Drosophila melanogaster: one gene and its partners. Changing the gene in region 1 together with any one later gene gives a genetic interaction. Each region holds a gene or a part of one and is shown on either strand. Other genes may lie near its edges. The genes, in order: vvl, lab and Lim3.

The links.
Region 2: of vvl (region 1) and lab, changing one suppresses a phenotype caused by changing the other (phenotypic suppression), as found in Drosophila melanogaster (one study listed by BioGRID).
Region 3: of vvl (region 1) and Lim3, changing one enhances a phenotype caused by changing the other (phenotypic enhancement), as found in Drosophila melanogaster (one study listed by BioGRID).

The regions. Positions count from the first base shown.
Region 1 is NT_037436.4:6,786,517-6,798,952, forward strand, and holds vvl (ventral veins lacking), read left to right. Parts: upstream 1-3,641; 5' UTR 3,642-4,309; coding exon 4,310-5,593; coding exon of another isoform or gene 5,594-6,538; 3' UTR 6,539-8,425; downstream 8,426-12,436. UniProt on the Drosophila melanogaster protein: Binds to a DNA sequence element required for the expression of the dopa decarboxylase gene (Ddc) in specific dopaminergic neurons. Could also play an early role in specific ectodermal cells, and a subsequent role in the embryonic nervous system.
Region 2 is NT_033777.3:6,672,803-6,683,012, forward strand, and holds the start of lab (labial), read right to left. Parts: upstream 5,789-10,210; 5' UTR 5,545-5,788; coding exon 4,329-5,544; intron 1-4,328. UniProt on the Drosophila melanogaster protein: Sequence-specific transcription factor which is part of a developmental regulatory system that provides cells with specific positional identities on the anterior-posterior axis. Required for proper head development.
Region 3 is NT_033779.5:19,101,941-19,112,128, forward strand, and holds the start of Lim3 (Lim3), read right to left. Parts: upstream 6,488-10,188; 5' UTR 5,447-6,487; intron 4,336-5,446; exon of another isoform or gene 4,226-4,335; 5' UTR 4,132-4,225; coding exon 3,783-4,131; intron 970-3,782; exon of another isoform or gene 913-969; coding exon of another isoform or gene 448-912; exon of another isoform or gene 411-447; coding exon of another isoform or gene 228-410; intron 165-227; exon of another isoform or gene 104-164; intron 1-103. Other genes in the region: CG43731 (uncharacterized protein), read left to right, coding at 228-410; CG17344 (uncharacterized protein), read left to right, coding at 448-912; amd (alpha methyl dopa-resistant), read left to right, coding at 10,061-10,188.

The DNA of each region.
Region 1 (12,436 bases):
GTTGGGTTGCATCCACGGGAGATTCGGATTTGCCTATATGCAATTTGCCTACACGGATAGATAGTTGACCTTGCCGAAAAGCGTAATAAAGGGTTGCTCAAGGGTTGTCTTCTTCGGCGGCCTCGTCTTCAGGACTTCCTCACCATCCTGTTGTTTTCTTAAGTGCTTGTCTCTCCGCTATTTTTTTTTTTTGGCGCGCAAAAAATAATCGAGAGTTGGGCATATGGTAACGAGTTGTCCGAGGCTTCTTCTTTTTACGCAAATGGATTGCAGCTGATGATGATGCCTTCGATGTGTCTCTCTAATGAAACGTTTGTTTGCAAATGAGCAAAATAGATAGATCCGGAAATGGGGTTGGGGTGAAGGATGGAAAGGATGGCAAGGGGTTGGGAGGACGATGCTAGGATTATTTGCATGAAATTTACTTTGAAGATGATGTAGGTAGGACAAGGTAGGGATTAATTGAATGCGAGAGTTTTAATCGATTCTCCTTGGGTTACCTATCAAATCAACTGGGCTTCTAAGGGTTAACGTTCAAAAAAGGAGATCGTATTATCTGTTAATGGTTGAAGGGAATCATGTTTCAAATGATTAGATGGCTTATGGATTTTCTGTCTTTAGTTAAGGTTACATATTAATTTTAGAACACATTAACTTGTGCCCAAGCTAAAACTTCTTTGTTTGTTTATAGCTTTTATTAATTTGCTTTTAATTGCCTTTTTTAAATTAGAGTTACGACTAACACTTAAAGATATACACCCACTGTGCCGAGTGGCATATGCAATAAAATAATGCTCTTCATGCCGAAAATCCTGTTCAAATGCATTAAATACAGCTTAAACCGATAAAATTACTTTGCATTTGCCACAAATTAGTCGACGTGTTTTATTTCCCCCCACAAATATAGAGATTCGCATACTTATCGAGTGTGTGAGCGAGTGTGCATTAATTGTATTGCGCGATAAACAAAGCGATCAAAAGCAGACCAGTTTATATGTTTTGATTCGGAAATTATGGCACTTTAATTACCAAAGCAGACGTTGAGGTTTTCGGCTCTCGCTCGCACTCGCACTCGTTTGCCGGTCGGGATGGCAAATTAATGCAAAATAAGAAAGAAAATTATGCTAATAATTATAAACAAGTGCGGCCCGAAAACGAGGTGTGAGATAGAGACAGCCGACCGGAGAAGGAGACGGGTAGATGGTAGATGGCCATATAAAAATGCAGCCGAAATGCTAATCGAGCTCATTATCATCCAAATCAACGGCGCCGTGGACGCGGCCGCCACGAGATATCTTCCATTCATAAACGCAGCGCTTAGTTGTATATATATATGTATATTTTCCTGCTCATTTTTTACCATCGCATCGTTTTTTATTTACTCGCATGCGGCGCATAATTATGCAACAAGTCCTTTGCTGGCCACAAAAACCAAAAACGCGGCGCGTGCGCATTTAGCATATGGACAAAAAAACGTAAAGCAGAAAAAAGTGACAGAATCACCGAGGGAGGATGGCCAGCAGAAACAGGATTTCTTCCTTCGCTTCGACATTTGAAATTTAAATACCAGCGTTTTTTTTTTGTTTTTTGTTTTTTACTCACTCGCTGTTGTTATTTAGCGCCGCCACCTAATTATCATGTAAATTTTTGTCTAAGGACCAACAATGACTGTGACTTTATTTTGTCACTGGGGTTTTTGGGTTGGAAACGCTTGGCTTATTAATTATGCCCAAGTGCGTGGCCAAAGGATATGGTCATGGAAAAAAAAACGTAAACAAATTTCATGCAAATACGCTCGAACTTGTCTGGCTTGCGTCTGCTCGGCTGGATGACCTTAGTTTGCATAATTTTTTGATTGAGCTCTTGACCTGCCTCAAAGGGGTCTAAAACTATGCTAAGTATTTTGTGGTGGGTGTTTATGGGATTCTTGGGCTAGTTATGTGTGCCAGGATTTATTAAATGAGAAAATATATGAGAGGGTAGCTTTGAACATTTTATGCATTAATTAAATATATTTTTTAAGTGGGAAAATTCTGAATATATGTTGACATATTTAAGGGAAATAGTGGGAAAATAATAAGTAATTTTTTTTTTAGAAAGGTAAATTTGGTTAAATAAGCTATTTTATGTCTGCATATATACATTTGACGGCAATTGGCTTTGAAGGCGAAATAGATTTCCATTGATTGTGTGCAGAGTTTCATTCATTCATTGTTTTAGGAAACATAAACTTTTACGGATATTTTTCATTTGATTCTTCGCATTGTCCCATAACGCTCCGCTAAATCAAAAAACTTTAAAACTGCACAGCCAGAAACAAAAGTCAGTATTCCAATGATAACTTTAACGATGGCAATTCCTTTAGCTATGCAAATGTATCGCTAGTTTCGCATTAATTTCGCAAAACTGATCATAGAATCAATGAAACTGACGGATGAAGTGAATCAATATCTTTTGTCAGTGAAACATAATTTAACTGTAAAGCAGTCAAAACACAGTCACAAACACAATGAGCAAAAGAAAGATATCAAGGTGGAAAAGAAAGGTATATTTTATGTAGGCAGCCAAACGAAACTTATATGCATATGAAAAAGAAAATTATAAAATATTCATCGGTAAAATGGTTATTTTTTTAAACGAAAATTTTAAATATCATTTCATACTAAACACTAATTTACTTTCTTTAATTTAATTAAGCTTCACTCACACATATTATAAACTGAAAAAATACAAATAAGATTTTCTTATATAACACATTGGTTAAATATTTAATGGGACACGGTCTATATAAAAAATATTTTCAACAGAATTCAGCGAAATTTGAATTGTCCAAATTCAAGTTCAAGATTTATTTATTTTTCATATTGATAATCAAATATTATTTGCTCTTAAATATTTTTACTATGCACACTTTTTTGGATGAACGATAAATAGTTAAATATTTAAACTGTTTATTTGTTTAATTCCTTTTCTACGCCACGTTAGTAATATGTTCTTCAAATCGCAATGGCAACCACTCCAGATGTCCCCCCTCCCAAACAAACACACACACTCACAAAGCCAAGGGAAAAGTTGTCTGGCCAAGGAGCTGCAAGGAACTGAAACAAAGCTCCCCGAACGGGAGAGAGAAGTCCTGGACGCAAAAGCTCCAACTGGGAGATGGCACTACGTGTAATCCCTGTGTTCCCGATAGCTGGACTCGAAGAAATCGAGAGATGCGCCGTCGCCGTTCATATCATCTCTCGCCCTCTCTCGCTCGCACTGGGCACTGGGCAATTAAAAATGTCACTCTGCATGGGAATGCACTGAGGGAACTTCGTAGAGCCGGCTCTGGTATTATTTTTTCATCTCATATATTTTTTTTGTTTTTGTTGGTTTTGGGGGCGTAACGCTGGAATACAGCGAGCCCAATAGAGCGCAAGTCTCCCTTCCAGTTGCTCGGTAGAGCGTCTATCTCGCTTGCCGCACCAATGGCGGTGCTGCTCGCACACATGGAACGCTGGAAGGCCAGCGGACAAACTGGTTTCGCTCGCCGGGGTGTGTGTGCGTACTGCGCTCGTTGGTGTGCGTAAACGTATCGGTGTGACGTACCGCCGAGCGTCGAGAGCGCTCAACGTAGAGCTGCGGTGCGAGACATGACGTTAGTTCACTTCGATAGCTCTACGAGTCTGCACGTGAATTTTCCCTGGGCTCTCGGCTGTCTTGACTGCTCAAATCTCACAACACACAATCTCAAATCTCAATCGGCATCGAATCGGTCAAGCAACCCAGTAGAAACACACATTCGAGAAATCTCAATCTGTATCTGAATATCAGAGTTCTGCGTTCTGACCACTGAGTTCTATCGATGATTTAAATCGTTGCGAAAAATCGCCACAAAAAGTGCCAAGTGTTAGAAGTGCTAAATGAAATTCGAAAATAAAAAAATCTAAATAAATAACCAAATAAAACGCAGTTAGCTCAACGCTAGTCAAGCTAAATAAACGTGAAACCCCAAGCAAATTGCCGTCGGATTTTTTACTTAACCCAAAGCTGAAATAAACTTGTTGAACGCGTTCGAGGGCCACGCCCCCAAAAAAGCAAACGTCGAACCCAAAAAAAAACAAAATAAGCGAAATAGAATATTTTTGCGCCTGCCACGTTGCCCGTAAAAGACGTCAAGACGGTTGCCTCACGGTTCGAGTGGAATGAGCATAGGGACCCTGGTCTTCCTTTCGATCGATCGGTGTACAAAGTCGTTAAACTGAGCCCCAACTTGGAGCCCTACCCCGCCAGCGTGGAGGGCCTGAACAGCCCCAGAGCGGTGGGGATGGCCGCGACCTCGTACATGACGCCGCCGAGCGGTGATCTGGACATGGCCCTCGGAGGCGGTGGCTATCACACCTCGTCGCCGCGCTCGGCGGCTGATGCCGGTGAAATGAAGTACATGCAGCACCATCATCATCATCATGCCGCTGCCGCGGCAGCTGCCCACCATCAGTTGCCCTCGTCGCCATCGCCCAATGGCCAGGGCAATGGTGGCGGACTTGGATTGGGTTCCGGTTCCGGGTTGGGCTCATGGAGTGCCCTCCATCCGGATCCGTGGATGCAAACCCATCATACGCACCATCTGCCCGCCGCCGCTGCCGTTGCCTCGGCCGCTGATACCGTCAAGCAGGAGATGTCGCATCTCTCGCAGCAGACGCGCATCCAACAGGGCATGGCCTCGCCCCATGCCGCCTGGCATGCCCCCCATGCGGGACACTATGCGCCAACGGGCGGGTCACCGTTGCAGTACCATCATGCCATGAACGGAATGCTCCATCATCCGGCCCATGCGGTTGCAGCGGCCCATCATCAGAGTGTGGCGCCACTGCATCATACGCTGCGCGGGGAATCGCCACAGCTGCACATACACCATCACATGGGCGGCGGCGATCGGGATGCCATAAGCGGCGGCGAGGAGGACACTCCCACGTCCGATGATCTGGAGGCCTTTGCCAAGCAGTTCAAGCAGCGCCGAATCAAGCTGGGCTTTACCCAGGCCGATGTGGGCCTGGCACTGGGCACTCTCTATGGCAATGTGTTCTCCCAGACGACCATCTGCAGATTCGAGGCACTGCAGCTGAGCTTCAAGAACATGTGCAAGCTGAAGCCGCTGCTGCAGAAGTGGCTGGAGGAGGCGGACTCCACAACGGGTTCACCCACGTCCATTGACAAGATCGCCGCTCAGGGGCGTAAGCGCAAGAAACGCACCAGCATCGAGGTGAGCGTGAAGGGGGCACTGGAGCAGCACTTCCACAAGCAGCCGAAGCCATCCGCCCAGGAGATAACCTCGTTGGCCGACTCCTTGCAGCTGGAGAAGGAGGTGGTACGCGTGTGGTTCTGCAATCGGCGGCAGAAGGAGAAGCGCATGACGCCGCCAAATACGCTCGGCGGCGACATGATGGACGGCATGCCGCCGGGCCATATGCATCATGGTGGCTATCATCCGCATCACGATATGCACGGCAGTCCGATGGGCACACACTCCCACTCGCACAGTCCGCCCATGCTGAGCCCACAGAATATGCAATCCTCGGCGGTAGCGGCGCATCAGTTGGCGGCCCACTAGCAATCAGAAATCCAGGAGTCGAACTCAGCTGCAGCTGCGTCCACTCCTGCATCCCTCAATAGTCTAAGCCAGCAGCAACAGCAGCAGCAGCAACAGCAGCAGCAGCAACACCAGCAACAGCAGCAACATCAGCAGCAGCAGCACACACCGAATACACCATCCTCCAGTGCGGGATCATCGGCTACGATGACCAGCCAGGTGATGTCGCCGCAGAGTCCGCTGGGCAGCTCCTCCGCTGGCAATCAGGCTAACAACAATAATAATAATAATAACAACAACAATAGCAGCACCAACAATAACAATAATAACAATAACAACGAGGAGCAAGTTAAACACCACCAGCAGCAACAGCAACAACAGCAGGCATCCAGCATAGCAGCCGCTGCAGCAGCCGCCATGTACATGGATCCCATGCGCTACCAGCATCCGCACCACCCGCATCCGCATCCGCACCAGCATCCGCACCTGAATCCCGCCCACCATCCGCACCTGTTCCACACGAGCGATCAGTTGCAGCACTCGCAGCAGCAGACCGTCGGCGGCACCAGCAGCAACTCCCAATTGTCACCGGGTGCCGGCAGCAACAGTGGCCTGCCACTCCAGCCGCCCAGTTCCGCCTCGCCGGCCGGATCCGCATCCTCGGTGCTTGGTGGCCATCTCAATCTGAATCCGCTGCACCAGCACCACCACTATCAGCACCACCATCACCAGCAGCACCACCACCACCAGCAGCAGCAGCAGCAGCTCCACGCCCGCCGACTCTTCGAGTTGAGTCTGCAGTTTGGAGCGGCGGCGGCACCGGGAGCGGTACGGCACTTTAACAGCTTTGGCGGGGCGGGCGGAGCGGGTGGCGAATAGCATTCGTCGGCCGCCTGGTTCGGCTATGAGTCCTCCTAGGATTCGGCGTCGAATGGGTGGCCGCATTTCAAGCGGGAGCAGCCCTAGAATCGTACAGTCGAACTTCTCTAACGCGAACTCAGTTGGTTCGATTCGAATGATCGCAAAAGTAGCTATCTAAAATTTAACTAGCTGTGAGCATTTCAGAATATTTCGTAAGTCATAAGAATATTTTTGAAATTTTTCAATATTTTATTTCTGCGGTGTTTTGAGGTTTTTTAAAATTTGAAAATAGCATTTCACAGTGTTCTTAAAATCTGTTACTAAATTGGCGACTGAAAAAAATCATTTTAAACATATATACTTAAACAATATGAACCATATTGAGTTCCACGTTAGACAAGCTCGACTGTATGCAAATCTTTAAAGAATAGAAATAAGATGAGGTCCGTCGATGAGGTTGAGAAATCATCTTTTTTACCAGTGCATTAATCTGTGTTAAACTTCAGCTTAAATAGGAGCAGGGAGTGGAGGAGGTGGAGAAGATGGGGAGGCTGCCATCCACCATTTTAGTTTGTTTTAAAGTTTGAAAAACTTGCTTAAATTAAATCAAATTAACTAAATTAAAATGTAAACGAAACATTTCCTTTGTATAAAAGCGAAAGAAACACGCAATTCAAATCAAACGTGAAACCAAGTGATGTTGTTTTAACCTAAAAACTAAATGCTAAAAAATTAAACTAAATGAAAATAAAAAAAACAGAGAAACTAGTTAAAAGTGCGACCCAAGTGTTAAAGAAACCAAAAAAGACAAGCAAAGAAAACAAATTCCTCAGCTGCTCTCCATAAGCAAGGTAAATGTTTCCATGCCCAAAAGTCCACAAAATATTTTTTCGTTCAACACTTTGTCGCCGTTTAGATCAAGTAAAAAAAAGGCTCAATGAGAAAGAAGGCAGCGGTGGGAGAACTCGGTGGGTTCTAGATAGGGTCTAGGTTCTTAAGCAAGCCGTGTTTATATATATTATATATATATAGCCAGTAGATTGTACTCTAAAACATCTATAAACGAACAGAACGTAAAACAGAAAAAGAAAAACGTAGAATTTAACGCGCGGCGAAGTAAACAAAAATACGAGATGAAGGAAGGATTAAGTAAAATATGAGAAAACCCCAAAACATCTGTAAATAAAAACTTACAGTTAAGTCATATTTTTTAGCTTTAAATGCAATTGTAGATTTTTTAATAAGCCCCCCTAAGAGAAAAATCATTAAAAATACAACCACAAGCGAAAAAAAAATAAACAACATTTACAAAATATAAATTTTAATTTTTAGGCGGTAATTTTTAATGAATAGGCACGTGAAGTTTAGTTACTTAGTACTGTACTTTCTATATAAGCAAAAGGAAATCGAATGGAAAACAAAAATGAATATAGCTAAATCTTAAAATTTAAACAAACCAATAATAATCAAATACCACAAATGCTAAATTGTAATATATTAATTGATGTACATTAAAACAAAAGGCAAACTAAATGCTAAACGACAAACTTGAAATTATTTCAAAAACAAAAATAAACGAAAATTGTGTAAAAAAAATCATCTTTGTGTTTTTTGATATACGTTTACATTTATGTCTACTTTTTCTATTTTCTTATACAAAAACCTAAAAAGAAAATCAAACCTTATCCTTTGGTGTAACTTTATATATTATAGAATCTAACGAAATTTTTGTTTAGTGTACTTTGTTTTGGTATGTTGAAAACTATGCTGTAAGAGCGAGAGAAGCGAAGCCGAATATTTAAGATTAAGCCATGCCCTCAACTGTATAATAAATTATATAGACGTACATATATATGCAACAGCAAAGTCAACAAAGCGGTGCATTTCCACCTACACATACACACACCCACACACCGAGGAAAACCAAGAAGAAAAAACTGAAAAGCAAAAAAAAACTCTTAAAAAAAAACAAATAAAAAAGAATATTATTCGAAAAAAAAACGCACCGTCCTTTTATTATTATTTAATTAGCGGCATCATTTATTTGCATTTACTTTCGTCCGCTTTTTGGTTGTGAAGTTTATGAGTCGTTGGTTTTGACAGTTTTACAGGAGTTTTACGGCCACCTTTTGCAGATGCTGGTTACGATAGGGCGTTTATATCGATGAAATCGCGATAATTGCGTGTATTATTAATTTCGTTTGTTTGCTTAAAGTGTTCGAAAAGCCATTAAATAATTAAGTGGGCACATTATAATGTGATTGCCTACGTCAGAGAGGGAGCAATTGGCAATTAACTAACAACACAACTCGCAGATCGAGTAATACCGCTCGTTAATGAAAGTTGCCATTAAAAAGCGTGGCATTTCGTGAAATTACCCTTTTATAAGGCCTTAAGTGCTGCTGGAAGCACCTGATGGATCTCTGTTTGTCCCTGGTCAATGCGCAATCGTTGAACAAAACAAAAAGAGCACCGACGTCAATCGAAAGGCGATTAAAGTGACAATTTGCCAGATTTACGCGGTCAATTTAATTTACGAAATAAGTTGGGTGTATTTTTCGTTTGCAGAAATCATTCAAAACTTCCCAATTCGTCAAGGTATTAGTATTATGTTTAAGTCCTTAAATTTTTAACAATTTAAGTTGTTTCCAAAAATGAAAAACAAATTCATGAAATACCATTAAAGTCGTCTCATTCCACCTGCACATTGCCCCCTGGCCGCCTTATTGTCATCTAATGTACCGCACGCTTTTAACATTTAATTTATAATTTAAATGCATATTTCATTGGATGCTGATTAACAATTTTGTGCCGAAATGCTATTGGTTAGTAATTCTGCATAAAAATTGCATCAGCCCGAAAAATACATATACATACATACTCGTATAACCCGAGCCCTCTCACTCGCTTTTGTGTGCGAAATAAATTCGCATAATTGAAAGCCAGTTTTAGGCTTAAATATATAAACAACAACTGCCCCAAAAACAATAACAGTAACAAATAACAAATAATAACAATAATATATATTGTACAGAAGCGCAAGTGCAATGATTTATATTTATGCGACGGCAATAATGCCGTTTAAACAAAACGAAAATATCGGTTGTTATTTTTGTTGAAATTGAACTCTTGGCGCGCGTGGTTTATAATGTTTCAATAAAGCGTACGGAAAATGAAAAATAAAAATGAAAATTATATTTTCCGCACCAAACTAAGCAAAAACACCCACGCGATGCGCTTCATGCACTTGAACAATATAATATCGACAGTATTATATTATCCACCCATATAATTATTCTCTATGCTCTCTTAATTATTTTCTAACAAAAAAAAAGAAATAATAGACGGCGAAATGAAATGAAATTTAATGGGGAAACAACATGGCTGCCCACAAGCCTATTTATACGTTTATCTATTGCCACCTGCCATTTTGGGGTAGTTGAACACACACACACACACGCACACACCCACTCGTGTAGATGAAACCTGCCCCTCGGGCTATATAAACTTTTATATGGAAAACGGAAAGGAAAGGTTTTTTTTTTAATGGTCATGTGCTAGTTGAAATGCGCTTTAAGAATTTATGGGATTTTCGAAGGATTGTCCAAAAGAAATTGGGGGAAATTCCTGACTGATTAATCATGGCTAATGGATTTGCTGTATTTAAATGTGAGGTAATATGAGGTATTTTCATATTGCTACTTATTACATATTATATAAATTTGATATCTTTACTTATTTACTCCTTATCTCACACAAGTTTTAGACTTTTTATATTGCCGATTAATCTACCTAATGGCCTATTTGAATAGGCGAATATATCAGCTCTATATATTTATTTTCTCCTCTGCCTAATGAAAATTATACTACCATTTTATAGTCACTCCATAGTTAAAAAGCACATTCCACATTATTCGATGATAAAGAAAAGCCACTAATCTACGAGGGCAAATTGTAGTTTTCATTGGTTTTAATGTTGCCGTGCGTGCAAAGTGCGACAGCGGCGGCAACACCCCCTACACACCCTCCCCCATATGTACATATTTAAGTATATATATATATATACCCCGACCATATCTATAGAGAGAAACCCCTCCTCGAGGCAAAACTACCGACATTTTCATTATTATTTCGAGTGGAGTTGGTTGGTTTTTTATTATTTCGCGTGGCAAAGCAACACGCCGCCTGCTTTTGTACATTTCACTGTGTGTGCTTTTTGGGCTGCGTGCATACAACCGTGTCAATAATTACCCGTGGGACTGACACGACCAACGAGAATCATTCAAATGTTGCAAAGGCAGCAGAAGCGGCAGCGGCAGCAGCAGACGCAAAAGCACCAGCGTTCCACTAACAATGGCTAAAACAAAAGCTACAGCGGCGGCAGCTGAGAGACACTGAAGCTGGTGAACCGGCAGCAGAAGTTGGTAACGGAGAATCGGGCCACAATGGTCTCGGGCATATTGCCATTGTGGCATTACTGCCGCCACTCCGGCAAAATGGCTGACTCTAGTCAACGTCACCCGAAAGCCAACTGACGAACTGGCCGACTGACCATTCCACAGGAGCGGATTAACTATGGGTTTTGGTCCGGGCTTAGAATTTGGGAACTATAGAAATTACAACATTCAAGCATCAAATTAAAATTTATATATTAAATTATTTTTACGCTTGCCAATTTATTATTATTATACGCTTAAATAATATTATATTTATGTACTATATTATAGTATATCTACAAACATAGTTTACTTAATAACTTAATAATACATAATAGCTTGGTAAGCTTTCGAAACAATATTTAATTTCTAAATTTTCGAAATATATTCTTCTCAGCTCTCTAAAGGTCCGAACTCGTGAAATCCGCCCCTGTGATTGGGCCGCACTTTCCTTCTGTGCGACTTTGGCTTTTGGCTCCGGCTGGGCGACTTTTCCACTGACATTCGGAGTGTCGGGGACTCTGTGCTCATTATCTATGCTTCCTTTGGGAATTTTCATTTTCTTTTTCCGCGCTCCTCTGTTTTTTTCTTTTCGTTTTTTTCGTATTTTCAAAGTTCTAGCCGTGTGCGTTCGTGTGCGACATTTGTGCAAAGGAAAACAAAAGAAAAGACGAATGAACAGCACTATCCGGCTGGAAAGTACTACGTACTGCGTATATAAAATTATATAGGTGTACTTGGCTATTCTTGTTTCGTTCCGAGCCAAATCAGTGCGTTTGGTATTGTAAAACCTTGCGCTAATTACAAAATTTATTGCCTCTTAACGGAGCCCTCGAAAACGTAAGTCAAGAGCGTTGGAAATTCTTTTTAACTACCCACAAAAAAATGAGATGTATGTATGTATATGTAAAATGGGAGATACTCCCACCAGCGAATTAAGCTGTGACTGTGTGTAAAGTGCAGGTAAAACAAGCCACAAATTGGGATGAGACAGGTGAAGGTGGTGGCGGTGGCGGTGGTGCTGAAGGTGGTTCTGTGGTGCGGGGGCAGCAATTGCCATTCGACACCTTCGACTGTGGAGCACCTACATCAGCTAGACACCTAGACAAATAATGCGGGCAGGCTATATATGGACGATCATAGTGATAGATATAAGTGAGCTTCAGGGAGCATCAAGGGGACGTTTGAAAAGCTTGGAAGAAATGGGCAGATTTATTGGGCAATCTATTAGTTTGCTCGCTATCAAAATATTTAACTAGTGAAAGGAAACCTTTTAAAAGCATTTTCAAAATGTTAATTTGTATTTACTTGTCTACAAAGCAGAGGTGCCCAACTAAAATGTAGCCGCTTGTTTCTATGGTATTAAGTGATAATTGTTGAAAGTAAATAAAAGGTAAAGAAAAACAGTGTAATTTTGAAACATATCTGTACAATGAATTCCAACTGTTTGTTACGATTCTGTTCTAAACATTGTTGAGTAGTAACTCAAAAAACTTCATACTTGGAATCCTTGAAACTTCGCTAACTCTTTGATCAAACCTCGCAGTCATCATCTATGACAAACAAA
Region 2 (10,210 bases), on another chromosome or scaffold:
GGTTGAGTGCGGTTCGGTTCGGCAGGGCTTGGGCAAGCGTTTGATGTTATCTCGCATTCCTGGTGGTCACTTTTCTATCCACAATATCATTTCATTTAAATAGTCTGCCTCATTTTGGGCTGGGGTCTTTGTTTCGGGGTTCTCGGTCGCCGCTAGCTGGTTTATATATCTTACCAATTTCTGTTTTGAAATGCACGTAATTAATTCATTTCGTTTTCATTGTGGCACATTCGTCGCTCTTCGGTCCGCGTCGCGTGTTGGTGTCAAGAAATATCAAAACATCACATCAAATAAATGTTGAATACACCAAGCGAATGCCCCCTCTTTGGCCACTCCCCTGACCCCTGACCGCTGACCGCTGAACCTCTGCTGGCCCAGAAAACTAACACCTTTGCAGCCTTTTGGCCAAAAGTTCTCGACTGTTTCTTTTTTTCCAACAACATTTATGTTAATTCGAGTTTCCTTCACTTTTGTCAGCTCTTTTCATATTTCATATTTTCTGGGCAGTAGCTTCGCGTGTGGAAATTCCCACCCGCCTCTCGGGGGAGTGGGCGAAATTCACGAACAAAGTGGTAGATCGTTTAAAAAACAATATAACACGAACAGGAATAGAAACAGAAACAGAAAAAGCAGCGAACTTCCAGTTGCCATGCATTAATTAAACTGTTCAACCACAACAAGGCTAACCCGCCTCGATGGGAACTTTTCAATTACGATAGCGCCCATCAAAAGGCTAATAAAAACAAACAAAATTATCACCATACCAGGTCGTAAAAACTTTAGTTTGGTGCTAATAAGGAATAGAAATTCGGAAGATAGCAGATAATCAGATAAGGTGGGAGTGTATACACGTTGAGAAATTAACTAAAACAGATACTAAATATTTTACAACTTAATTTAAAACAAATTATATACAAATTATGTTTGAGTTAATTTTCATTCGCACACTGTGTGTCAGCTTATACCACTTGAATGGGACAAACGTTTAGTTCGAAAGACTTCTAAATTCCTTAACACTGACGTTTGAATGATGGATAAGTTTTTCGTTTCCTTGGTCGGTTTATTTTTTCAACTTTGGCTAATTTTAGTTTTATCTAGGTGTCATCATAATCTTGCCAAAAGTATTTTCGAGATTTCGCGCATTGATTGATATTGGTAGCTGAAAAAGTGGAAAGTTCTACGTGTGTATTTGTGTATCTTAAACCAATTTCTAGTCAGTGACAAATCCCTGTAAAAATGTCCATTAATCTTCATGGCAATGGGAGCAAGCCCCTTCTTCCTTCCTGCTCCAACCTCGACCGATCTCGGTCTGGTTACTGAAAAATGCTGATTAACACATTAGAGAACTCTTTGAATCGTGGCCTGGTCAGCGGACATCCAGTCGGTATGTGCGTGAATGCCAATATGTCGAACGCTACCATTTATAACCACGATTGCTGATTATGCTGTTTCCCTGCCTGAAAATGGATGACATGACAGATGGACCCAAGCATGTGCTCACAGCGAGCAGCGTCTCCCAGCATCCAGTATCCAGAAACCAAGAAGCAGCCCCAGCATCCCAGCATCCCAGGGATTCCAGGGGAGCCACGAGGCAGCAGATCATTGCTCAGTGACAGTTCGGTTGCAGTGAGGCTCAAACGAGAGACTCTTATTTAAATAATCATTTTTTCTGACAGCCAACTTGACTTCCAGTTCCAGTTCGGCATGCCGTGGAGCAGCCCCTGCCCCCCAAATTGTGCCCCCGCCCCATGCAGCCAGTTTCATTCTGGATTCGAGCTGCATCTCCCAGCCGCTTTAATTGTTTGTTTGACTTGCGGTCGCCCCTAGAACACATTGAGAAAAACCATATTCGAAATCGAATCTAAAGAACTTCTACTTGGGTCTTAAAATTAAAATTATAAAATTTCCCAGCTAGAATAATCTTATAAAATAGCTTTTTGTTGATACAAAATAAACCTAAGGATGGCTACCATGATAGTTAATCAATATGTGGGCGAGTAATACCCTATTTTTGAAACAACAATTGATATTTTCAACCAATTAGTTTTCTTTCTGTGCAATCTACACCTCTCTGCCCCACCCTGCTCCCCATCTAAGCGCCTGGTTCCACTTGCACGCGTCATCTGAGGGGCTTTTGGGCTCGTATTTGGGCCTCGAGCTGTAAGGTTCGGTTTTGGGTGCGGCGCGTGGGGATTTTGGATCGGCGATCTGGGATCTGGAATCTGGGATCTCGGATCGGTTGCGTTCGACTCGGGCCTCTGTGGCGTCGTTTAATTGAAAACGATGCATGTAAATGACACTTTTCAGCATTAATAAGCAAATATTTGTATGATTATTGGTGTAGCCGGGGGATTAACGTTTGAACTGTAAGTGGTCCGAGGCTCGATGCTCCGATATCAGCGATCAGCGTCAGTTGTGCAACTCGATTCATGAACAGGTTAAGTGCATTACCAGAAGAGGCCCACAGGCCAAATGAATTCGGTCAACAGGTTTGGAAGGATGGCTGGAGTATGGCAATGTGGGTAACAAATGCGGAGCTAATCCCTTCACAAATAAATACAATTTGTTTTATTGGAAAAACCTTTCAGCATGGTCACATGCTTTAAATTATATAATTTTCTTTGGTATAGTTTTGTATTAATAGAAATATTTAACCCAAGAAATTAAACCATTCAAAACTCGACCTCAACTTTGTTCTACAACCTTTTCCAACAATTACGTATATTACAAATTTCAGGGTGAGCCATAAACACCTGTGCCCCCCCATTCAGTTAGTTGCTATTTATTTATTTATTCGACTGACCTCAAACTCTTTGAAAAGCAATTAAAGGCTTACGCTCGAATTTTATGCAATTCACGAAGTATCAATAAAAATACTCGTTTTTTCAGTGGCAGCTGCTTCTTTTGGATAATCGACGACGTTTTATTTATCGCATACAATATGGACTTTTCTGATCTTTTTTATCAAAGCGAATACATTTTCTTAGCTGGCTAATTCCGAGATACAAAACTCCACTCGCCAATGTGACAAGTAACAACCTGACTGACTCTGCACAGGCATTGACAAAATTATCTGAAATATGCAAGAAATGTGCCAAAGGAGGAGAGTCCAGGAGAACGGCGACAGTTATGAGAGGCGGAAAGGGGCGTGGAGGTCGGGGAGAATCGAGATTCTGTAGCCGGGGGCTGTAGAGCCGAGGGCAGAGGTGGGCGAAATCTTTGGCATTTGAAGAGACAGGAATATTTTTAGGTGACATGCCCTCGGTTGGACGTCTTTCTTGACATTTTGTCTGACGCATCCACTTGTTTTATGTTTGCTAATATTTCTGCAGTGCTAATTGTTCATACTTATGATCAATCTATTCTTGATGGCCAAGTTCTCTAACTTATAAATGTACTCATAATATTGTTTAATCTGCTCGTTCGACGTCATTTCTTTCACAGTTTTATTCATCTTCTTCTGGTTTTACTGGTTGACTGATTCTTGTATCTTGGCCTGTCAATCAGTTTTGAAAGTCATCGTTTTACGCTTTTTGGTATTTACTTGAGGTTCTTTCTTATGCTTTTCTTAAAAAAATCACCATACGTATGTATAGAAGTGTGTGTATTTCTTTCCATAATAACTGTCCGATTAACTTAATACATTCCGTAAGCTATATGTGATCTATTGAGCGAACTATACGAGTTTAGAGAACTATAAGAGTTAAAATATGGCAATTAGCTAAGAATGCGGTTTCTTAATTGCCAGAGACTTTGCCTAATGAGACGCGTTTAGTTGCCCTTAGAATGCAGACATTGCGAATGTGCGAACAACTTGAATAAAAATTGCACAAATTAAATGTATTTGTATCCATTCACAAGGAAAGAAGGCAATTGTAGCGCTTGATAAAACGACTTGGGTTAATCTATTGGTTCTAAATTTGCAACAAGACCTTTTCACTATACGCCTCTACAACTCGCGTCATTCGAAATGTCCACGAATATAAATTTGCAATAGTTTCAATTAGCATTTAATTAGGTATTTAATATCAAACGACTACTTGATCAGTGTTAAAAATAAATAAAGAGAATTCAATTTTTTAAAGTAACCGAACCCTATATATTCATCTGATTTATTTAGAGAATATATCAGTAGGAGCATTTTTTTGTGTCAGTATTCTATTATATTTACCTTATTTATTATATAATTCTAAAATACTTAAAGAAGGGAATAAAAATTCGATTATTTAAGGAAAGAAAAACGGAATAAAATCATTCGGGACGTAGTAATTTGAGCCTGTTTCAACCATTGAAACCCTATTCCGAGTTTACTTTCTAGCTCAACTTACCTTGAGGCTTTGGAACATTCCTCTTGAGTTGCATCCACTTGTAGGTGGGGATGCTGCTGGAATGATTTGGCGACTTTGATTGCGTGCTGGCAGGATGTGCTCCATTCGAGGCGGAGGTGGAGGAGGAAGTGGAGCTACCCGGGGAGATCACTCCCCCGCGCTGCTGGCGATTCATTCCACCGTTGGGCGACACGGAGTTCTGGTGGTGCTGCTGGTGTGCCGCTGGGGATTGGTTCTGCGGATGTTGCGGTTGCTGGTGCGGCTGCTGCTGTTGCTGCTGGACTTGTGGCTGTTGCTGATGCGGATTGTTGGCCAAGTTGCCCAGGTGTCCGTGGGGCAGGCCGTGATGCATGTGGGCGTGCATTCCTAGCGAGTCCATGGCATCTAGGGCATAGCTGCCTGCCAGATGTTGCTGGTGGTGCCACATCTGCGACTGCGTGGCCTGCTGCATCATTGGATCCTGATCCTCCAGCACCATTCCGGGTGCATAGCTGGCGTGCAGGACGGCGGCGTATTTCTCCTCGATCTGGCCGGCATATCCGTGAACCGGAGCCTGAGCCTGGGCCGTGGGATACATGCAGTCCAGGTTGGTGTACATCATCCCGTTCTCGGAGCTGATGATTGCTGCCTGTTGCTGCTGTTGTTGTGTGTTGCTGGTGGCACTTGCATTGGCGGCGGTAATAGGTGAGCTATTGCTGGGTGGAGCAACTGTGGCCACTGCGGCGGTAGCGTAGTACGAGTGCACCGAGTCACTTTCGTAGTAGGAGTCCGCCGGAGAGTGGCTACTAGGATGGAGCGGCGTGCCCGGATTTCCCGTGGTCGTACTCGTGGTGATGCCATACTCCGCCGCACTGGGACTAAAGAGATGCGAATGCGGATAGAGCTGTTGCTGCTGCGCCTGCTGCTGTTGCTGGTGCTGCTGCACCACCTGGTGGCTGCTGGTGGGCGGTGGTGTCAGCTGCGCCTGCTGCTGCGGATAGTAGTTGCCTGGGGAGCTGCTCTCGTAGCCATTGTAGGTGAGGTGCTGCTGGGGCTGCTGCAAATGCTGATGCTGTTGCTGCTGCTGCAGCTGCAGGTGGGGCTGGTGTTGCTGCGGAGCAAAGTAGCTGCTGGCGTTGGCCGCCGACGCGGTGGTGGTGCTGTAGCCGTCGTAGGCATTGGCATGTGGATGGTGGTGGTGCGGGTGGTTGCCGTACATGCTGCTTACGTCCATCATATTGTCCAGCCGGAACCACACTTTCTCGCCACTCCGATATAACCGGTGTATCACTAACTACCCTTCACTTGCCACACAGTTCTTGAAATAGTTCTTTAGCTGTTTGCTTTCTAAGAATATTACGCGACGGTCGAGGGCTATCGACGTGGGTTTTATCTGTATCGAACCGAAAAACACGACTCCCGTTGGCGATGACGACGACGACGTGCTGCCTGCGCGCTTACCAAGTCGTGACTGATTACTGGCCCGAACCCGGTTTCTTTCAGACCGCACAACCGCTGGTCTTGGCCACGCCCCTCTGCAGACTGCCTGTGGTCCCGCTTCCTCTCGTGTGTGCTACATACGTGTTGCGACTGCCGTCTCGCTCGCTCCCTGGGATTCTTCGGATGACTGCCCTTATCAGTGGTTCGGGGGTTAGTCATACGTATATACAAATACCCGTATTTCAACTACCGGTTTTTGGCAGTTGCCGTTTCCATTTAGATTTTCTCGTTCCCTGTTTGCTCGTTTTTTTTTTGCTAGTCGCCATGGCAGGAGCGGATTGACGGCTACTCAAGATGGGAGTTCTATGAAGGAACTTGAAATTATGCAATGAGCTGGTGTGGAACTGGCTGGGGATGATCAGATCTCTAAAATGATCCTTATTAATGGGAAACACTTATATAGATCGTCGGTCCACCTAAGAACATTAAGCATTTTAAAGAAACTTGTTCTAGATCTTACTTAAAATGTTTTGAAACATCCAATTGACAATTCACTTCCCGTATGCCAATTAGAAAAACTTACTATTTCTTATCATCATAATAGTTTTACTCGAAGTCTTCTTCGCCATATATGGAAGTCGGGAAATATAAAGACCATTTATTTCTAATTTAAACTAATTCAAAACTATGCTCTAATCCAAAAAATTGTTGTTGTTATTATTGTTTTTAATTCCTTATATAGGTATTATTTAAAGTACTCTCTGTTAAAAGTATCTGAATGGTTTCTCAAGTGTAATTAAATTCTCTTTATAAAATGTGTATTTATTAATACTAAATAGTAGACAACTCTTCGCCCCGAAAATCTTTTCGCACATGTTTTGGGCCCAGTTCGTGTCCAAGTTAATCCACCCCTGCCGCCTGCTGATAGTATTGAAAGTTACGCCCCTGACCATGCTCATGTCGACGTCTTGTTTTAACTGGAAACCCAATGTTGTGTGTTTGTTTTGCGGTTTTGGCACGTTTTAGCACCTCGAAATTCCCAAATGAATTGACGGACAGGTAAAGAAGAGGAGCTTGCTATGGGATTGGAAATGCGAACCGGGCACTCGGAATGGGTTTTCGGCTTGGGAGCGGACCGGGGTTGCGACCAGGAGGAGCTGCAAACGGATGCTGACTGTGGCAGCTGTCAATCGTCATTTGCACATATGACAGCTCATCTATGGCAGCACTGTTGAATTTAAATCGTCGTCGAACGACTTCCCCGACCCCGACAGACCCCGAATCCTGACATTATCTCCGGACCTTGACTCTGACTCAGTGGGATGCAATTCGTAGGCGCCCCCTAAGAGTTATCCGGTGTATGGGTCTGTCACTTGGCAGGGATAGAGATACAACCGTCAGATATCTTCATGCACCTTTCACGCACAATGCATCATCTTTGGCTGTCTGGAAAACTTCGAGGTTCGCTCCTTCCACTCTCGGATTGGGAATTTTTCGTTTTTTGTTCAACTTGATTGACATTTTCACAAGTTTTTGTCTCTACACTCGCACGGGGAATTTCGGAGGGGGAGGTCGGCTGGAGTGGCCATTCGTTTCGTCCTTTCGGGCGGTCCTGCCCAACGCTCCAAGGTGATTTGTTATATTTTCGGACAGCAGCAATTAATAGTAACAGGATGTGTGCGAGTATCTTTCAGTAATCACATACATATGTATGTACATATACAACTAACATACCACGGCCCAATCCCGATTCCAAGCCTGAAACTATCTCACATGGCTAAAGCGAAATACATGCAAGGCTTAGGTATCCTTGTTTTAGCATTCAGCTAGGATTGGGATCATTTTTGACAGTTCCTGGGGTGTTATGCAATACTTCCTCCCTCAGCCAATCTTTCTTGTCGTAATGAAGTTGTTTAACAATCGTAATTGAGAACTCAAAGATGTTATTGCCTTTAACATTAAAGTTTAAGTATTTATATTTATGTACATACGGCAGAAGCCGTTAATTTACTTTCTCTATGTATTTACTCTTACACGAACATATTGCTGCAATAAACAAGTTATATATATTCTGCTTTTTCTTTTATCATAAAATTACGTTAAGACTGAAGTAGTATAAAGACATTTTTCGATACTTTTGTGTAAATCCATTGTAATGAGAGCATTATGTTTATGGTAAATTAATGACTTTTTAAAATGTAAAACTCTTTGTAATAGTACAAATTATTAATTAGTTGTTTTCATACACGTTACTCGTAGAGTATAAAGGTTTTATACTAGATACGTTGTAAATGATTGAACAGGCAGAAGGAGGCGTTTCCGAGAGACGAAGACGCAGCTCAAATTTGTTTTTTAAATGTTTTAAAATCTCCCACGCCAACTTTTTTGATATTTTAAATTTGCTTGCTAGTCTTGTAATATGTATCGATATCTTACGATAGAGGTTTCTATTGTTTATTTGAATTCCCATTTGAATTGACAATTCGAAGCAACTATATTTTCTAGTATTTTTTGTAGGCGCGGGAGATCAACACTCCTATGTCTATAACATAAACATACAATATTTAAAAATATTCCAGGATAAACATACATACATAATTAAAAGCTCAAAAATAAAATTAAAACATGTACTCATACATATTGAGTACATTGAGTATTGAGTATTGTAATATATGTAAATATATATATATATATACGCATTACCGTTCGTAAATCACATTGATTTGATTACCCTTAAAATTGTATTATTTCTGATCATGATCTGATAGAGCTTTGATCAATTATGATCCACTCAAATCCCAATATAAATGTATGTATATCTGTAAAGTTCATCATATCACAATCGATTAACCATAAAAGCTATTTCCACACCACTCGTTAGTGCATATAAATGTCCAGTCAAGTGCCCGTCGCACACCTTATAGGTTTCGGGGGATTTGTAAGTCGCGCCATCAACGTCTGTTTAGCGCCATGAAAGCGTCGGAAGTAAGATATATGGGCTAGATGACGTTCCCAACAGCCCCGAGAGGCGACAAGCCTCTACAGCCGATCGGAATAGTGGAAAACTGACCACAAGCTGACGCCAAGTTGATGGGGGCGCCGCAGCTACAGCTCCAAAACTTCTGGAACTTGGAGTGCCGCCGTTCGATACGATTCTTGCTACACAGCTCTGGTGTCTCCCCACGGCAGCCCGTATCTGTCCGGTTTTCGGTGTCCGTTGGCCGCTGTCCACTGTCCGTTGTCCGCCGGTTTTCGAGACGTGACGTGACGAGTAACTGGCGTAATTGGCACTGCAACCAAATTGATGGATTGCCCGGCGCCGACTGTCACCGCTCCAAGAACAAAACTTGGCGGTACTTTTCGGGTTTCCTTTGTAATTTTTGGTAAATCGATATTTGTGCCATTTTTTTTTTGTTTCGTTTTCTTTCCTGGGCTTTCGGTTTTGTGCAGCTTTTGACTCGGGCGTTTTGTTCGCTCCTGTAATGATTAATTAACCAAATTTAGTTTATCAAGCTCTGCTGAGACGGCGACGGATGCCTGTTGCATATGGGCCAAGAGTTGTCCTAAGTGTGTACGCCGCCTCTTTAATTGAATTTGAATTCGGGCCAGGCGAACTCGTTAGTTTATGAATAGGATTTTAAGCTTCCTGCACTGATTGAGTTGCTGAATTTATCACATGTTCATTTTTCGGCTAATTCCAAAACCCCTTTGCGTGGATCTTGATCAGTATGTTCTTGATTGATACCTGTAATTGTCGACGCCAAATTTTTTAGAGTTCTTATAGAAATTCCTCCATATAAGTCGGTGGCTTCCAGTCGGCAAGATGAGTCGCCGCGAAGCATATTTAAAGTGCTTCCTTTCTTTTTATAATGCAAAATTGCCCGGTATATTTATTACTCTTTAAATACTTACTCAGTCCATTTAAACAACTCTTAAGTATATCATATTGTTTTTTTTTTCAAAATTTAAAAATTTAATCAAATATGGTTTAATATACATATACTACATTTAAATTTAATTTAATTTAATTAATTTTAATATAAAAGCAATTGTTTACACCTGAATTACATTTTTATGAATTAAAGTACAAAATATGGGATGTTTATAAAAGATCGCTTTAGCGGCTGTAAAATAAAGCGCTTTGTTTTTGGTTAAATTTATAATTCTTAAATGTAAGCCAACATATGATATTCGTCAGAGTTCAACAGAATACAAAAGTTTAAAGCAGAAAGGCTTAAATGTGAGAGGCTAGTTTACGTAAAACGTTTACAAAAGAAAAATATGTATATCTTTTATGAGGAAGGAGTCGCTTCTCACTGCAACAACATCTCTTCCACGCTGTATTAAACCCTAAAATTCACTTTTTTACATAAGGCAATTGGATGATATTTTAAATATGTTTTATGTGTGTGTTTTAGGAAATGGTTATATGATATATGCGACTCGTCTAGAATGTCCTTAAA
Region 3 (10,188 bases), on another chromosome or scaffold:
CAGTAAGCTTTCATATATATGTATATATGCTCTAATAATAAACAAGGAAGCCCTACCATATTTGTCAAATTCAACTCGATAATTCATTTACATTCCGTTCCTTAAACATATAACAAGGACACCAATTTCGGTCCGAAATTCAAAATTCAAAAAAAAAAAAAAAGGTGAGGACATAAATTATTTCAATATAGCTTTTCTATATAGTATATATACTTCTTTTCACACAGATGTCCGATATCAATTTGACTGCCTATAACGCCTTTCGCCGCGATTTGGCCAGGATATACAAGACATTCAGTTCGTATACTCAAACCGATTTTACTGAGGATTATGGCACCAACACAGACTTCGATTGCCCAGCCGATGTGGAATCAAATCTTTCCAAACTTTACGATCTCGAACTGGAATAGTAGTTGCATGTGGTAGAAGAGAGTTTATCCGATTGAGATGGAGAACAGGGTCAAGGGAACGCACTCGGAGATCTGTATGGAATCTAGCAGAATAAGGCATCTGCAACCGCTCAGATCGCGATCCCAGGATAACGGAATCAGATTATTAGCCGCAAGAAGCGATTTGGCGATGACACCATGGTCTCTACCATCGGAATCTCCATCTGAATCGGATGAATCCGAATCCCAAATCTCAGGTTACACCACAGAGAGTAGCTACCGAACGGTGCCTGGTTACGAGCTCCTTTCGCAAAGTAGTTCGTATGCCAGCAGACAAAATCCCTACGCGTATCCGCCAGCGGACTTCCTCTGGGAGATCTACGTGCCCATCCATAGTGGAGCCACTGAGGAGGACATCCAGACCGTTCATGGGGAGTTGCGGGAATTGCTGGCCAGCGAGATGCATTTAATCAGAGGCGCAAATGGACCAGTGATCTATCTAATTGCATACAGCTACATGTGATCACTTCTTACACATTTAAAATATATAAACCACAATAAAAATAATTATTCAATCCCCATTTGCAGCATACAGATTTATTATTCCATTTAATATATTTTTTTGAGTTATAAAAATATTGACCTCCGGCAAATCCAGTCCACAAAACATACCAATATCTTCAAAGCGAATTGAGCTCTTTTAAAAAGTCATCTACTTAATCACTTTTTCGACTACAAATGATGGGCTTGCCAAACTTCGTTCAGCCTTTTCAATGGACAATCAGTTCTCGAGTGAAGTGTTTGCTTGTACTGCGTGATCTGCGCCTGTTGACATTATGACAAATTACATAAGCCAAAGGCAACAATTGCCGGAACCCATTCCGGAAACGCGGGGAAGGAAGGAAAGAGGGAAGGAAGGAAGGGGGAACAAACCGAAAACGGATACGCTTAGAAGGACTTGGAGTGGTGGGGGGTTTTAGGGGGTGGTTCGGGCTGTAGGCACGTTAATAGGAAAGCCACACAAGAACTGCTAACGAAGGACACGCGGCCGGCGGTTGAGCGACAAGTGCGTTGGGAAGAATTCCAGTCACACACAGGACACAAGGACAACGAGGTCCTGGCAGCGGGGTGGATCGTCTGTTTGCCGAGCACTAAGTGCGCCGGGCAAGTGGAAATGATAAACATATTTACACAATTTTTGACGGGCGAACGGGTGAAACAAAACACCCGTGGGTACAGTCGTACCCTTCACCCCTTCCCCCTCTCCCTCCACCACACCCTCCCCGCAGTTTTCCCATTTCTTCGCTTTTCTGGTGCGCGTACGCACTTGAAACAAGCGAAAGGAAAACCAAACCCAAACTCGATAAATATGTTTATGTGCAAATAACAAAATATTTGTCGATTGCCCGAAACGAGTGATGGGCGGGGTGATGGGCGGACTTTGGCTTCGGGGTAGGGCAGGCTCTAAAGGCAGAGGCAGCTCCAGGGTTTTCAGGGGTTCCAGGGGTTCCATGGGTTCGAAAGAAGCACCGCAAGCGCATAATTCAATTTTTCTGCTCGTTTTGCACATCGCCCGGCACACGTCACTCGAGTCCTTTGGGACACCGACGAACTGCCATGCTACACCAGCTAAGCCCAGCCCAGCTACACTGCGAGAAAAGTACACAACTACACTGCAACAAAAGAGCAGTAAATGAAACATGAAGGTTAGAAACAAGATTCAACATTACTAAAACTTCCAGTTTCATGAAGTGTGTAGTCAACCAGAACTCCAATCCTTTCCCTTGAAATGTGCCCAGATTTAATCATGATTAAAGTTCAGGTTGGTTAAGGTGTTTAAGATATCATACTGATATTATAATAATATATTATACTAAGAATACCTTAGATTTTCCGTTCCGCTTCAAATTGGACCTCTACCAAAAACGGGATAAGTCATTCCCGACTTACTGGATTTTTCCAAAGTGCACGCACTTTGTCAGGGATGCAGTGGATATTAGTGACACGTGGCGAAGGCTCGACCAAGGCGATCCGCAGGTCCCAGCACATGCGGTTTCCCGGATCCGTCCCCCCCCCCCCTCCTTTCCACCCAGGAATCTATATTTATTTGTTTGTAATTACGCGTGTTCTAAAAACGAAATCCCGCCGCACTTGAAGCCGGGAAAATGGCTAAACGGCTGAGCCTGCTCTTTTCAATGCCCGAAAACTTCGGCCGGGAACACACGTGCAGTGGACGACCGCCTCCACTGGTGACCGGGTATTCCCAGCGCATTAGCAACAATGCCGGAGACATTTGGAGTTTGTCAACAGTTTCGCATTGGATTTGGTTACGGCTTTGTTCTCATCAGCGGCGCGTGTCCCTGTCCGATGTCATCTTCTCCACTCTCGACGCGACTCAACGCGACTCGACGCGACTCGACTCGACTCCAATCCGCAGTCAGTTGTCAACTTTCTGGGCTGGCTTTTAGTCCGGGGATTGCCGATTGATTTGGCGTGGGATTTTCGAGTGCGGCACATGTATGAAACGAAATCATAAATGTGACAGGCCTGGATCATAAGCAACTCGCACAAAGAAATCCCTTTGACCATCCTTGAGCCATCTCAAGCAGCAATAAATCATCTCCTTCGGAGCCATTCACCATGCATATATCCTCAAAGAAAACTTTCTGCCGGAACTTTGCCAGTTATATATATTGCAGGAAGTCCCCTCGGACCATACATTTATTCCGTGGCGGAGTGCATAAAAAAGCAGGCGGTCCAACCGAGCAGCCGCAACACTGAGCCCTCCTAAAAGGGCATTCGAAATGAGCTGCTCGGAGATGTGGAGATGTGGAGATGTGAAGATGGTGGTCTGCCACCGGGAAAGCTTTCGTATTTAATTGAAAAACACTTAAGCCCCAGTTCGGAGGAGCCAAAGCCAAAGCCAGGCCAACCGCAAGGCTCTTATGTGACCCTAAAAGACCGACCTCATAACCCCAACTCATCTTCATCACAAGACCTTTCTGGTCGCTCATAAAAACAAAGGGCGAGCGCAAACAAAAACTTTGCATAATTAAGGCGCGGCCAACACATGGGCAAAGTGTATTCAAAGGGTTAACTTACAGCAGAAGTGAAATATACGGTTTTAACATGAAAACTGTATTCTCAATATTTACTAAAGCAAAATTAAGAAACCACGATATTTTTTAATGTAAATACGACTATTCTCTCTTTCATTTCAAAAATTGATAAATTGATAAATAAAATTCAAAAATGTAATCTAAGTTTGAAAACCAAACATTTTAATAATATACTATTCTTGGCAAACATTTTTGTTCACTGTGCAGGAAAATCTCCTAGGCAGCCTTCAGATGGACAGGACTGAATCAAAGATGGCATGACTTGGCCACTTACCCTCGAGCGCCCGGTTCCTGGAAATTAAGGCGAGCACCAGTTCGGGATTTGGGTCATCCTGGTCGACAGCCAGGTGATTGTGGTGCGGATGTTGCTGCTGCTGTTGCTGCCCACCGACCAGGTGAGATGCCTGCGGCGTGGGTGGCAATTGTTGCTGCTGCTGCTGCTGCTGATGGATATGCGGCTGATGTTGCTGGTGATTATCCATGGCTGACAGGTGCTGTTGCTGCTGCAACGGATGTTGCAGCTGCTGATGCGGATGTGGCTGCTGCTGAGGCGGATGCTGGAGCTGGTGCTGATGCTGGTGGTGATGATGTAGCGGTGGCGGTGGTTTCAGGGTTTGCATCATTGCTGAGGGGCCGGCGATTTGAACACGCGTCGTATGAGTTATATGTATATTTCAGTTAGCTTATTCCAATTGGCACACGTTTGTATCTTTAGCCCTGTTTGGTGTTTAAAAAGCAATCTTTGTGTTAGTTTACCGCACTCGTTTCCCGTTTAGCGTCTAAACGAGACTCCGCTAGGCGGGATCGCTGTCTGCTCGATAACTGGCATTGGTTTGTGCCCAACAGTGGCCCGGTTGACTGTTTTTCCCTTATCGCGGCGGTCTCTTTGGGTTTCGGTTTCTACGGTAGAATCTAGATTCCAGTCTTGCCACTCGGTTGGGCTCGTGCTCAGTGCTCGGCTGCTCTATCAGTTGAAGTAGCCAGGGACTTGAACAATTTGAATTTGTTTGCGATACCGGGGCACACTAGACCATCTATTGTTCGGGTGCTTTCGACCAAGTGCAAGGCGGGTAAACTTTATGTAAGCCGAGGATAGGGCCAAACTGATCGGTAGATATTCAAAAGACCGTTTGGCGCATATCTATTCATCGTCTATCACGAGGAGAATTCTCGTGCGAAGACAACAAATCGGATGTGCACTATACTATCTATCAAAAAACGGTCAATGTCCAAGGTTTTTTTATCAAAAACGAACTGCTAATGGTTCCCAAATCAAACAAAATAGTTAAAAAAAATTTTTGTGAAATATTATAACGTAGAATATTTGATAGCAAATATCCATTTAATAGTTTATCAGTATTTGAAAACTAGTTAAGATTGAAGATAATTTATTTTATAGAAATTCAAACAAACAAAATAGGTAAACAATTTATTTTTTGTGAAATATTAAAACGTAGAATAATTAATCGGAAATTTCCATTTAATAGTTCTTCAGTATTTGGAAACTAGTTAAGATTGAAGATCATATATAAATGAAACAAAATACTATGAAATTTATTTTATAGAAATTTAATTTTAGGAGCAAAGCTCCTAAGATTAAATTGAAATTAAAATGGCTAACATCGGGAGTTGGAAATCGCACATTAATCTTATTTTGATTGCCTTAAATCTTAAAACAAACAAAATCCAATCGTGTTAGTATTAAAATTCATATACTAAACATTTTAAAATCCTAAACGTATCTTGGTTTTGTAACTCTTCTCAACACAATTTGCTCAATAGACTTTTTTGTTTTAAGGATCTACTGTTAAAATGTAACATTCCATTTTTTAATCAAGCTGGCTTTCTTTTCAATAGTTCCTCAGAATTTTAGCCTTTTTATTGAGCCTTTCGTTATGCGACGGAATCGTAAAACCAGTGGAAATGATTTGCATTTACCCTATTAAAATTTTTTGCGTCACTTTAACACTCAACTCTAGTATTTGTTAACTTTGTTAATTATTGGCTGGTTTTTAATTTTCTTATTTCAACATTTCGTATTATTTCGTTTGAATTTTCTGCGGCACTTGAACGCGATTTTATGCGAACGCCATTTTGGCGACGGCATCGGCAACTTTAACGGTAACGGTAACGGATTCGGCAGCGAAAACGACGACGGCAAATGCGAAGCCAGTGCGACAAAATGGCGGCGGCATGGCTAACGGTGTTTGCCCAACGGTAAGGTAACGGTCTGGAAACGGTAACGGTGTCGGTAACGGTACGGCGGCAACCCTGGACGCGGCAACACTGGCAGGCGGCTGGTATTGTTGCTGGTGGGAATCCCCTCTATTTGCCGCGCTGCATCTTTATTTATTTTCTTGGCCGTCCAAACTGTCGTCTCTCCTTTTTACTTTGCGCACTTTTTCACGCTTTTTCTCGACTGTGCGAGCTTTTAACGCTGTTGTTTTTTTTTTTTTTTTTTTTTGTTTTTTGCCTTTCGTCTTGTATTCGTGTGCCGTTTGCCGTTTGCCTTTTGGCCGCCCACATGGGTACGCCGTGCGTATACGTACTATCTGTGGGTGTGTGCGGGTGTGCGGGCGTGTGTTTACCAATTGATCCTAATGTGACACAAATGATATGGTAAAATGCATACAGCCAGCCCTGAATGGCAGGACAACAATGGCAACAAGGCGGCGAGGCGACAACGCCAGCAGCGACAACATTTTTGTGCTTCTTTTTGGAGGCCGTGCGCATGTGTGTGTCGCTCTCTGGCGATGCCCATTTGCCCGAAAAGTCCAAATTCCAAGAGCATTACAATATTTGTAAAACGCAAAAACTTTAGCCTCGTCGAAAAAAGAAGGTGTGGAAACTTTTTTTTGTTTCCCTCTGCCTCAAGAAGCTTGAGCTGCAAAAGTGCAGGGGCAAAAAAAAAATGAAAAAAGGAAAACAGCACAGTGGGTAGAACAAAAAGCCAACCAACGTCGAGCGCGACACCTTCGTTGGCCCCAAAACAACAGTAAACAGCACTTAAAAGTCAGCAGCGACGTCGACTGAGGCGAAACAAATATGAGAAACTTAACTCAAAGGTCCAAGTCAATACGCGGCGCGCGGTCACCAAAAATGCGGGGTCTCCACTGGAAAACAGGCACCGCCCCTTTATATTGAAAATCGCTGGAAATCGGCCGACGATAGAGTCCAAAAGCAACAAGAACTTCCAGGCATGCGCAGGCAGTGGCCATTATCTTATCGCCCCAGCGTCGCCATTAAAATGGGGCTGGGGTGGCCATACGCTTCTATTCCTAGAGTTCGATGTCGTTCCAGCGCCGGCGCACTCGAAAACCCAAAGCTGGCAGGGTGATGGGAGAGGGGGGAAGTTGCTACTCCATGCCCGAGTCACCCGTTGCCCATGAGTTCGCTGTATCTGCATAGGATTCTCGCTGTCTGTGTAGTTTCGGAACCCCTATATCTATAGTGGATACTTGCCACCCGTCCCGAAAACCCCTTAAATGCGTTGCGTCTGCAAAAACGATTTTGTTTTCGCATTTATTTATGAGCCGCTTAGAGCGCGCCAAATACTTTGCCAAACACTTTGAACCCCAACGCCATGCTCGAGAACCCCACGCCCCCGCTCCCAACGGATGACCTCCGCCCACCCACCGAAGTGGACACTAGCAGGGAAGGTCGTTTGTGGGTTGGGTTCCGCGCTGCGGCGGAGCAAGGAACGCGAACAGCTGGAGTGCGTGGGTCGCTCGAAAAGTATGCCCGGTCTGAGAAAGTCTGCATAAAATGCCAGATACAAAGTACGTATAAATATTAGAAAAAAACATGATTCCATCTTATGCTGTAAAATGTATTACTTCATACTTATACTAAGACTTTTGTATCATCATCATTTACAGCTTGCCTGTAATATATATTGGATACTATTACACAGAAGCTAAACTATAAACTGTATAAACTATATTACATATTTCCTTTATTAAACATTCAGCATTTTCTTATTGGGCTTTCGTTACGCGTGCGGAACAACACGAAAACACGGCATACCCTTGAACCCAACTAGTACCGATTATAAAAAAATATAGGGTAAGAGCATAAAAATGCAGCGTGACCCTGAAACTGAAACTGATCGTGAATGGAAATGGAAATGGAAATGGCTGATGAAACCGATGCACTCAATCCAACGCGATCCCAATCTATGGCATCCCAGGCGGAGCTTCACTTCCGCGGTTACCAAATCGACTTTGACTTTCAAATTTTCCAACGCTTTTGTCGCAGACGTCTGTCTAATGGAGCCGTTAATGGTTAGACACATGAAGTATTTTGCCAAATGGGCTCGACTTGGGACGGTTAATTGCTGATGATGTGATGATATGGAACCGGATCGGCAGTGGGTTTTGGGGGGGATGGCGGAGATTTAGTAAGCAGCAGTGCTAGTGTTTGGATAACACATTTTAATAGACAATTAACAAGCAGTTTGTTTAAATTTTCTTCACCGACATTTTTAACTTTTGTCCGGCGATCTTGTTTTCGCTATTGTGTCTTTTGGTAGTTACATAAACATAAATCTCGGCAATGGGCCAGTCAGAAAGACAAAAAACTTGCTGCCACTGCACATTTTCACACATAGCCGGATTTTTGTTAACGTTGTTGGAGTTCCCCCCCAAACTTTTTATTGGAGGGTCTCGAGATTCGGAGCTCATTGAGACTTGGTTAAAGCGCAGCCAGCTCATTTGTAGATTCGAATGTCAGCGGTGAACAAGTGCGGAACCAGCGGAGCGGCTAAATACCCAAATTCCCCCCCAAAGTAAATCGCGCCTTTTTTTTTGGATTAACCAGGATCATGGACTTTGATGAGTTCCGTGAATTTGGCCATGCCTCCATCGAGTTCCTTATCAACTATCTGAGCGGCATACGTGAGAGGTGTGTGTCTGGACTTTTATCCTTGGAGCGATGCCTCTAAATTCTGTGTTTCTTCCAACAGGGATGTCCTGCCCAGCACGGCTCCATATGCGGTGATCAATCAGCTGCCCAAGGAGATTCCCGAGCAGCCCGATCATTGGCGCGAGGTCCTCAAGGATCTGGAGAACATCATCCTGCCGGGTCTGACCCACTGGCAATCGCCCTACTTCAATGCCTTCTATCCGTCATCCTCGTCGGCGGGCTCCATCATCGGTGAGCTGCTGATCGCGGGCATCGGAGTCCTTGGATTCAGTTGGGTAAGCTATATACATATGTAAATGGTGAAAAAATCCAGCAGATTCTCCTTTTTTTAAATGAATATTCATATTAAATACGTGCGTGAATGTGAATGAATTAATGTGGAAGAACAATCATAAGCAACTTTCTTCATTGTGTTTTCTTAGAAAAATGATATAAAAAAAAAGGTCAGTTAAAACTTAAATTTCATATAATTACTTAAAAAAACTAATTGTATCTGAAAAGTGTTGCCATGATAATTAAATTCGGATAAATATAGCGAATATACACGTTTGATTAGCTTATGATCGTTATATATTAAAAACTATTAATACTGAACTTTTTTACTTTTTATTGTGATAAAGAGACAAATTTGAAAGAGTTTCATTTTAAGAGCCTTAAATTATTCACACGTGAATTTACAATTATTGTTCATTAGAGTCAACAACAATAACAACCAACAATAATCAATTGGTTTTAAAACTATAATTTCTGTCATCAATTTGCCTAAGAGAGAGGGGCTAAGAGAGCGCCAACCGACCAACAAAAAAGTGGGAACAGTTTGTGACCCAAAGTGATTTCCCACCAGCTATTGTTCGAGTGTCGTTGGTAACAAAATCTTTTGGCCAAATCAACGCAACACTTGAGAAATCCTTATCGATTCAAAGAACTATGCGATAAATATGCTCAGGAGATAGGCACTCAACGATTAAGAAAATTGCCAAGTAATTGTTTTTCTATAAATATATGGCACGAAATATACGAACCCAACTATAATCCCGGTGACCGATTCGTTCCCTAATCTCGCAGATTGGACACGCTTCACAAATCACTGTGCAGAGCAATCGGATATAGGTATTTTCGAAATTAATAGCTAAATTGAAAAAAAAAGTATTTGAATGGCACTCTCGTATAAAAGAATAAACCTATTACTATATACCCCTTTGTGTAAGTAGTATAAAATAGTACACACTCCTTTCTATAAACTTTCAACAGTATTTTAATGTTTTGATTATGTTAATTGAACAAACTTCGCATTTGAATTTTAAAGTATCAACGAATCAAAGCTAAATTAGTTAGATCAAAAGAATAAAACAAGTCAGTTGCGCCGGTTTTTAATGATTTCTCAAAACTAGCCAGATTGGCTGAACCGACAGCTCTGGAGGCTGTCCAGAGAAGTCGGAGTATAAAAGGCAGCCGTCACCGGCGATCGGTTTCAGAGTGAACCTCAGGCAACTTGGAGGAGCATCAACGGATCGGGAACTGAAATCGAGTTGGGCAAACAAATCAAAAACGAAAACGGGGAAATAAAACCAAAACAAACAGAACGTAAAAAGTGCAAATAGAAAACGATATCGCAACATTGTCAGCGGTATGGATGCCAAGGAGTTTCGGGAATTCGGCAAGGCCGCCATTGACTACATAGCCGACTATCTGGAGAATATTCGGGATGACGACGTACTGCCCAATGTGGAGCCAGGCTATCTGTTGGACCTGCTGCC